2 linked regions of the Tribolium castaneum genome follow. The protein of the gene in region 2 purifies or fractionates together with the protein of the main gene of each other region. This does not show direct contact. Links are inferred from orthologs where the notes say so. Each region holds a gene or a part of one and is shown on either strand. Other genes may lie near its edges. The genes, in order: Dcr-2 and RISC-loading complex subunit tarbp2.

The links.
Region 1: the proteins of RISC-loading complex subunit tarbp2 (region 2) and Dcr-2 purify together in Drosophila melanogaster (affinity purification with western blotting; 9 studies listed by BioGRID, with this or other methods). This does not show direct contact. The link is inferred for Tribolium castaneum from reciprocal best matches to the Drosophila melanogaster genes loqs and Dcr-2.

Annotation. Positions count from the first base shown.
Region 1 is NC_087397.1:4,128,310-4,132,816, forward strand, and holds the start of Dcr-2 (Dicer-2), read right to left. Parts: upstream 3,076-4,507; coding exon 2,921-3,075; intron 2,870-2,920; coding exon 2,637-2,869; intron 2,350-2,636; coding exon 2,109-2,349; intron 2,061-2,108; coding exon 1,127-2,060; intron 1,020-1,126; coding exon 735-1,019; intron 689-734; coding exon 476-688; intron 423-475; coding exon 1-422. Other genes in the region: uncharacterized protein LOC103315209, read left to right, coding at 3,803-4,507.
Region 2 is NC_087395.1:26,693,585-26,697,883, reverse strand, and holds the start of RISC-loading complex subunit tarbp2, read right to left. Parts: upstream 3,098-4,299; 5' UTR 2,953-3,097; intron 2,659-2,952; exon of another isoform or gene 2,651-2,658; 5' UTR 2,580-2,650; coding exon 2,553-2,579; intron 2,436-2,552; coding exon 2,295-2,435; intron 2,240-2,294; coding exon 1,953-2,239; intron 1,046-1,952; coding exon 745-1,045; intron 530-744; coding exon 380-529; intron 312-379; coding exon 63-311; 3' UTR 1-62. Other genes in the region: GATOR2 complex protein WDR24, read left to right, coding at 4,299-4,299.

The sequences.
Region 1 (4,507 bases), on a different chromosome or scaffold from region 2:
ACTCGAAAATCGACGCAAACATCCCCACACCGATCCTGAACCGGTACAACAAGCAACATCTCCGAATTCATCCCAGTGTTGTCGAAAATTAAAAACTCTTTCAGAATCTCCAAAAGGTCGTTGAATACCAAAAAATGGAACTCCCTCATTTCCTTCATCTCGTTAGCTGCAAACTCCACCTCTCTAACATTGTTCCTAATTTCAATTTCCAACGTTCCATTTGAATCAAAGAGGGGAAATTTGCACAAATCGGGCAACGGTTTCGGCGATAACAAACCAAACTTTAACGGTGTTTTGTACAGGTCGTAAATAGTGACCGCGTTTTTCAAATCGTCGCTTCTTTTGTATTGCGGATTTATGTTAATAGTGTGCAAATAGAGGACTCTGTCCGGCTGGATTGCACTCTTCACACTCGGAGCGATCTACAACCGCTCGCAAAAATTAGAATTATTTCTTTTTGAAACGGATCACTTGCCTCTTTATCGTGCAACCTCTTCTTTTTCTTATTTCCGGCGTCGCTTTCCTTTTCTTGTGGCCAGTGCGTGAAAAGATAGGAAACATCGGCTTCATCCAACTGCTTCTTCCATGGCAACAAATTATTGTCAAGTTCGCCGCACTGGTGTAGCTTTATACATGCGACTAGTGCGGCTGCTCTTTTTGCGTCTTTTTTGTTGTGCATGTAAGGGCCCTAAATATTCATTTACAACTCGAAGACTGTAAAAAAAATTACTTACGACAATGGGGTCGATAAGAGGGCACACAACGGGCAAAAATATCACAACCCGCAATTTTGCGCTGCTAGAATCCTCTTCATAATACCACTCAGGGGCGTAAGTGGTGTATTTGTCACTTGCTAAATTACTGCAGTAACGGCACAAGAGAGCTACGGCCGAGGTCATGTTTACTTGTGCCGAATTGGGGCCGTTTACGTAGTAGGGCTCAAGCTTGTCTTCATTATACATGTTGCGGATTTCCGACAAGTTTGGATGATCTCTTTCAGAATTTTTGCCGATGAGAAGCTGAAAACGGGGCACTTGTTTACTAAAACGCATGGTAACAAGGGTACCTGCCAAAGTAACTTGGATTATTTGGCAGTTTTAATTTGGAAGCAAAAGCCACTACTCACATCATTCACCAGGTTTTCGATTTCCTTGAAAGCGGAGTATTTTTTATCGTACTTTGCTACGTCAGTCGTTTCTACAATGGTGTAGTATAAACTTTTGATATGTCTTGCGCGTCCTTTCGACTGGATATACGAACGGTAGTCCTCCGATTTGTCGAATTTGATGACGAGAGTGCACTTAGGTATGTCCACTCCCTCCTCCAACACGTTCGAGCTGACCAAAACGTTGATTTCCTTGCTGACAAAGCTGTTGAGCACCTCTCGGTTCTTTTTTGTTATATATAAATTCTCTCGGGTGTCGTTGTAGGGATTATTCTTATTTCCAACGACGAAATTTGACTTGATATGATAGAATTTGGGATCAACTTGGCTAGCTTTGTCGATAATGTGGTGGAGGACCTTGGCTGTGAACCGCCTTTTGGTGAAGACTAAACAGCAAAGTTCCTCGTCCGATTTGGTTTTGTATTCGTCCAAAATTTCAAACACTTTCAGTACTTTGTCAGAGGAGAATTTTCGAATTTTTTCGAGCGGCTCATAACCGGCCATGGTTTCCTCCAGAAGTAGTTTTGTCGTCCCCATTATGGTCATGACGTAATTCAACACTATGAAGAGTTGGTGGTTCTGGCAGTGCTTTTTTATACGTTCTATTTGGATCATATGCGCCACACAGGCAATGTGACCACCGAATGCCCCTAACATTTCAATGTGAATCATTAGGTCTGAAATCAAGTTTCTCAGACTTTTCAACACATCGGATGGCTCAAGCGGTTTCAAGGTTTCAGACTGTAATAAATTCACACTGTTTTGCTCATCTTTGATATTAATATGTTCCAAATCATTTATCAGTTGACGCAAGTTGTTCAGTACTTGTTTGGCATCAAGCGACAAAGCGCCCGGCTGGCAAACTTTAAATAGTTCTTGCGGATTGGTCGAATATCTAAGACAAAGTGGTGAATTTTACGCGATTTTATTGTTGGGAAAATACCCAACAACTACGTCTAATCCTTCCACAGTGGCCACTTTACTGTGGAAGGTCACCTCCAAAGACCTTATTTCATCCATGACTTTCGACAATTTGCAATTGCCATTTAATAACGTGGCTGTAAGACCAAGAACTCGAGGCTTGTCGGTACAGCTGTGGAAGTGTTTCATTATCTGGCGCATTGGCTGGTCTTCCACACCATGGTGGCATTCATCGAAAATCATCAAGTTTACTTTTCCCAAATCTACAAATTTAATTAAAAATACTGGTTACCCACACTATGTTTTTTCCCAATAAAAAATTATCTACCTTCTTACACTTATTGATTTATTCATTATTTTAAATATTCCATTTCAAATCAAAGCAAAGGGGCAAAGATTCAGGTACTTTTTAATAAAAGCAAAATTTGCGTTTAATAATTACATTTAATTCGTTTAATGACCAAGGAAATTCGCCATTTGGAGATAAATAAAAAATACGAAAGCTTGTAGGCATTGAAAGTTGTATTTTGCGGGAGAATGGGACACCTACCTATGAAGCGGTTGTTGATGAGATTTACCATGATTTGGCTGGTCATTATAACAACTTGATACTTATTAAATTGCTGTTCCCATTCTGCCTCGCTCCAAAAATCCACATTCATCTCTCCAGTGTAAGTTCCCACACTGAACGTGGCGTGGTCTCTTACATACTTACCATGTTGATCCACCAAAGCCACAGAATTAACCAATATAACTGAAATCTTTCCACCATCGCTGTAGGGTCTAAACAGTATTGCCTCAGATTAAAATCGTACTTTGAAGCAACAGAAATACCTCAATATGGGGGCGCACAACTGCTTCAAAACCATTATTGCAATAAAAGTTTTACCCGATCCAGTCGGTAGATAAATAATTGTGTTTTCCCGAATGGCAATTTCCATCAAATTGACTTGGTAGTTACGAGGTTTAAGTTCGTCTTCTTCGTCCATTTTAATAAAAAGTTCTTAAAGCGGGGGCGAAAAAAATTTTTTTGGATACGTGTTCACACTGAAAAACAGCACTACTGGCATCTGGAAATATTTTGCAACAAGGGGAGTGATTTTAGCTTAAGCCACGTCATTGACAGTAGGAAGACGGGGGAATCCCCGGGAGGAATTTCTAGAACTTTCTGAACTAAAATGCGCAGGTAGCAAATTTTATTTTTGCGCATTTTCCACTTGAAAAATTCTTAATAAATTGTGAAATTTATATAAAATAAATCAAAATAAATAAGGACTTAACCTCGCCAGAGTAACAAATAATACGGTTTGTAATCATTGTAACAATACTTAATTACTGGGTACTTACATGAAGATGATAAGGAGATGAATGAGTGAACACAATTCTTTAAAAAAAACTAATTTTTTTCTGACATTTCACTTGTTTTTCCACTTGTGAAAAGTGGGGTGGGGTGATATTGGAACACAGGAACTACTGCAAAAACCTAATGGAACTAACTCGAATAATATTTCGGGTTTTTAATTGATTGCCCGTTTTTCACAAAAAGTACAAGCAACATTAATAAGATAACTGAATAAATACTTACTATTTATTTAATTAAGCTTGTAATACATTTGTAGTAGATCAAAAGTTAGTAGCTACGGTAGCTTACAGTAGCTCAGTTTACTTAACCAAGAAAATTTGTGTTTGAAATGTGTTCTTTCAACGCTAATTAAAATGGAATCATCCAAGGAACTGCTAGAAAAGCTCTTAACTGACGAAGTCTTGGACAGTTTAATTCAAGACACGGCCTGTTTGCAAACTTTGAAACCCCTTCTTGAAGTCAAGCACGAACGGATCATTGGGGGCCAGTGTGAGAAAATCACCTTGTCTTTGAACTCCCTTTACGACAGTGATGTAGATGTAGATTTGGCAGCAGAAATTTTAAAACGTGCTTTATACGTTACGCGAGATAATACTCTTTTGTCGCAAACCCAGTCTTTCTGCTTAAGCAAATTGCAGTCAAGTCGAAGCCTTGACGAACTTTATTACTGTTGCAATTTGTTAAACGTACTTTTTGAGTATTATAAGAGCGAAAAACTGGCTCTAATGGAATGGAAAAGTGACGAGTTTTCCAATGGGATTTTAAATACTTTGGTAGCTTCATCAAAACCTTTGTTCACTTTTGTTACGATTTATTTACTACCTAACTACTTTACTGTGTGTAGTCGGAACAATAAGAATTTGTTTTTAGAAAATGCGTTTAAATTTATCAGGGATAATAAAAGACTGGACTTTTTGTGTGTATTGTGGGCCCATTTCATTCCTGTTGATTTAACTAGCAATAATTTCAATGTTTTGAAAGTTGATGAGTTTTGGAAACTCGTAATCGAGTCTTTATCAACCCAGTCACAAAAACAAGCGATTTATTTGTTATCCAAA
Region 2 (4,299 bases):
AAAAACAAATTAAATAAAAAAGTTGCAGATGTTTGAAGTGTAAACGATCATAAGCTCGAAATTCACTTCTTGCTCATTATTCTTAAATATTCGAGTGCATTCAAAGCAGCCGCTGATTGCGCTTCCTTCGGTGTCGCTCCGGCACCGTAACACACCGCTACCGGTAATGTAGAAAGCTGTACTAAGCACTGACTTTTGCCAGATAGTGCTTTCTCCTCTATATCGACATAAGTTACTTCAAATTGTTGCTCGGACGCAATTTCATGCAAAAACTGAATGAAGTTGAAGTCTTTGCTGTTGAGAACTATGTTCTGGAAACGATTTATACAAATGTAAAAACGATACAATTTTCGCATTTTTGCTAAATCAAGTAGTTTACCTGCAACTCCTTTAGCTTCGGCCCATTGGACTGCTTGAGGGCTTTGTGAAACTGTGACACCTTTTGGGTGTGTTGTATGTTGAGTGTCGGTATTTTACTATCTTTCAGACCACTGTAGCGTCCTTGTAAGTTACACATTTTCGCCGCCAACTACAAAATACGTCATTGAATTGAGACAGATTTGCTCGGGATTATTTTTACGAATTTTATTCATTTCAATTTTGTACAGCGCGCTCTGAAAGATCGTAAAAATACCTCAGCAAGATCCAATTTTTTATTAACAATAAGCAAACACAAAAAGCATCCATGTCTGAAGAAGGAAAGCCAAACGAAAAAACTAAACTAAATCAACAGAAACGTCTTACCTCTTCATCGTCGTCGTAACCTTGCGGCAGATTATTGCCCTCTAGAGGCATATCTTGCAGGGCCTGCCACATTTTGTGTGCTGCCATTCTTTTAGCTAATTTTTTTGACTTGCCAGTACCGACTTCTTTGAATTTTAACACTTGACAAGCTATCGTGAACTGGCGTTCGTGTGGAAGACCTTCCTCATGTTCCATCTCATAGGACGGTGGAGGCCATCTCCGAGACATGCACATCTCCTGGAGCCAACCGATAGGGTTCCCCATAACTTTATCATCAAACGGAGACACCACTTGAGCTGTACTGAATACAATATTTCAAATGTTAGACGTTGCGATTTATTGGCCGTACGGATACCTAAAAATTAGGATACGACACGACGTACAAATAAATTCTCCTTTCGTTTTCTTTAACAGCAGTAAATTTAATTTGGCAGTATTTATATAACGCAAAAAAAATGGGAGTTTACGTAAAATACGTAAAGAAATTTTCAAATTTTACGTAAATAAATTTTTTTGCAAATATTTGCTTTGATTTACATAATAACCGTATAAGTATATTAATTATTGCGATTTAAATTTGCGTTTTTTGTTAAAGAATAAATTTTGTCAAATAATGAAACATTAGGAAAAATACAAACTGTATCGACAACAAGAAAGAAATTTTCTTAAATGAGACAAGTTTTCATTTAACAAATCGGCCAATATGTGGAACAAATCAACAGAAAAAGGACAATAACTCTATTAAAAAATTCCAACTTTTTCATTAACGTTTTTTTATAAAGATTTTTGTTAAATAGTAAGTAAGCTAAATCGATCAAAATCAGCCAAAGAAAATGTAAATTTAAAAACATACTCTTGTGATGTTCTTCAATGAGTTCATAAAATTCTCTTACAATATGCGACTTTTCTTTGCAAAGTCATGTGTATGTGTGTGTGTGTGTATGTGTGTGATTTGTAAGTTCATCAAAATATAGCCTTATTTTCGTATCAATTTTAAACTAAACCTCAAGTAGTTCACAGACTAATCTAACTATATTTCATAAACTTCTCGAAAATAGTAAAATGTGCAACAATAAAGGAAAGAATATGTTTTTTAGCTCCATTTTATGTTTGATTGAATCACCAGCAATAGATATCCAAAAAAAAAATTGAAATTCGTTTCGCCTCCTAATATTTAGTTTTCCGTAGTTATATGCTGATTTATTTACATATCGTTGGCTCCGGGAGTCCCGTTAGAAGCGTTGGCTTGTTCTGGACTCTGTTTGCCGACCAAAACATCAAGCAGATTCTTCGCAGCAGCGTGTTTGGCGTCTTTTTTCGACCTCCCTGTTCCAGTAGCAACCAAATCGTTATTAATAAACACCCTGTAGCGGAATATAGGTTCGTGAATAGCCCCCTCGATTTGGACTAGTTCGTACTTAGGCGTCGCCCCACGACGACTTAATAACTCCTGAAGTACTGAAACAGGAGTTTTGGTCGGCAACGACGCCATCTCCTAAAACTCAGTTAGTATCAAAAAAAAATTATAATAATAATTAGAAAAATCGCACCAATTTAGCCTCTTCGCTCAGAGACAAGCGTTCAGCCTGCATTCCGTGTAAAGTATTTCTGTTGTTTTTCCTCCTAGGATGGACGTTGTGTATTTGACTTGAGGAATGCAGAAGCGTCATATTTGGGTCCATGCGAAATTGCTGAAAAGAAAAATCGTTGCAAGGTTTGACAATTGGAAAACTGGCGCGAATAAAAAACCGACCATCACCACGAGAATAAAGGCATAACAAATCCTCGATTTTTTTAAATTTCTTTACCTGTTCAACTGGCGGAGGTACAAACATCTCGCCGCTTGTCGGCCCTTAATTTCCGCTTCCCGTACTGAAGAAAACGAGCAAATTATATTCCATTCGCCCTACACAACTCAAAGATTTTAAATCAACAACACAAAAGAAAAGAGAGAGAAACTGGTAACGGTTTCAACAAAGCGACCCCTTCGCATTCACACCCCTAAAGCAACGGTCAAAATTTTTAACTAAAACTATTAGTTTCGGTACTTAAAATACAAATTTACTCCAAATTTTTTTGTTATTATAATTTTTGTAAAAAGAGCCGGTAAAGAAGGTTCATAAATATTCCACTAACAACCCATAATTCGCAATAGACAACACAACTCTATTGTAGCAAAATTATATGTAAAACAGTAAAATTACTTACAATTATTTAGAATTTTTTATTACACTTTGAAATACAATCGTCGCTATAAACACTGTAATGGCGACGTTTTTTGATGGACACAAACGTCAAATGGTTAAACAGTTCGCATGCGAAGAAGTAACATTCTACAGTAGCGCCACTTAGCGGGAATTCGTTGCTACCAACTTTTGTTCTTTTTAGAAATCCATAAACGACGAAAAATGTGGTTACCAACATGAATTTTGGTCATTTCACTATTTTTTAATATTTGCAAGATAATAATAATAAATTTGATCCAAAAACAATAATTTTTACTTTTTACTGATGTATTTTATTTACAATTACACATCTCTTAACATCCTCTTGTCAAAGTAATCACAAATCGCCCAATTTTCCGCTTGAAAACTATTTAAAAATGTGTAATTTTAAAATTGTCATATTCTTAGCCTATTTACGACCAACTAGACTGTAAAAAAATCACACAAGATCCTCATTTCTGACCAAGATGCGTTTACGAACGCTTGTTTTGGTATTTGTATTTTTGTTAACATTCTCTCCAAGCTCTGAAATTATCTTCGACAGTTTCATTGCTACAAATGGTAAGAAAACTTAATAAAAAAGTTACTGTATACTATTGTGTAATTCTTCTAATTTAAAATTTTAGAAATGGAAGGAGCGCGTAAAAAGAAAAAAGGAGGTGGCAGCAAATACACTGTACCACTTCTTTTCGGAGCTTTAATGATCAAATCTATTATTTTTCCGTTAGCTTTTAAAACTATGGCCGTAATGTCAAGCATTGCAATACTTTTAAGTACTATGAGTTTAATTATGTCATCAATCGTGGGATACATCAGAATGGGACTTAAGTCTGCCCCTGTTAAAGTTGTTCATAAACAACCACCATCGCCCTTCAATAATTGGGCCAAAGATGATGATGGTAAAAATTATTACACACTCGGAGATAATTATAATTATGATTTGGTGGCACCACCACCCAGATAAGTAAAAAATATGTTATGTAACATTTATTTAACCCAAATAAAATGTTTTAATAACAATCACTTTTTCCCTTCTGATTATTAAAATGTACTGCTTCTCTGTTGTATTGTATGGCTATAACTGGTAATTGTTTGGAAGCTACTGATTTCTAGGAAACGTGAAACGTCAGACTTGACGTTTTTAGGTTATTCCTTTTAACCTCGCATTTTTTTGTTAAATATAAAAAAATGACTAAAAACTATTTCTTTATAATAAAAAATGACTAAGTAAACGCGTGACTGAACGTAGTAATTATAAATTAAACTTTATCAGTGTCAAATTTATAAATCGCTGGATTTTATCAAAGAAGTGTCAAGAATATGTAAACAA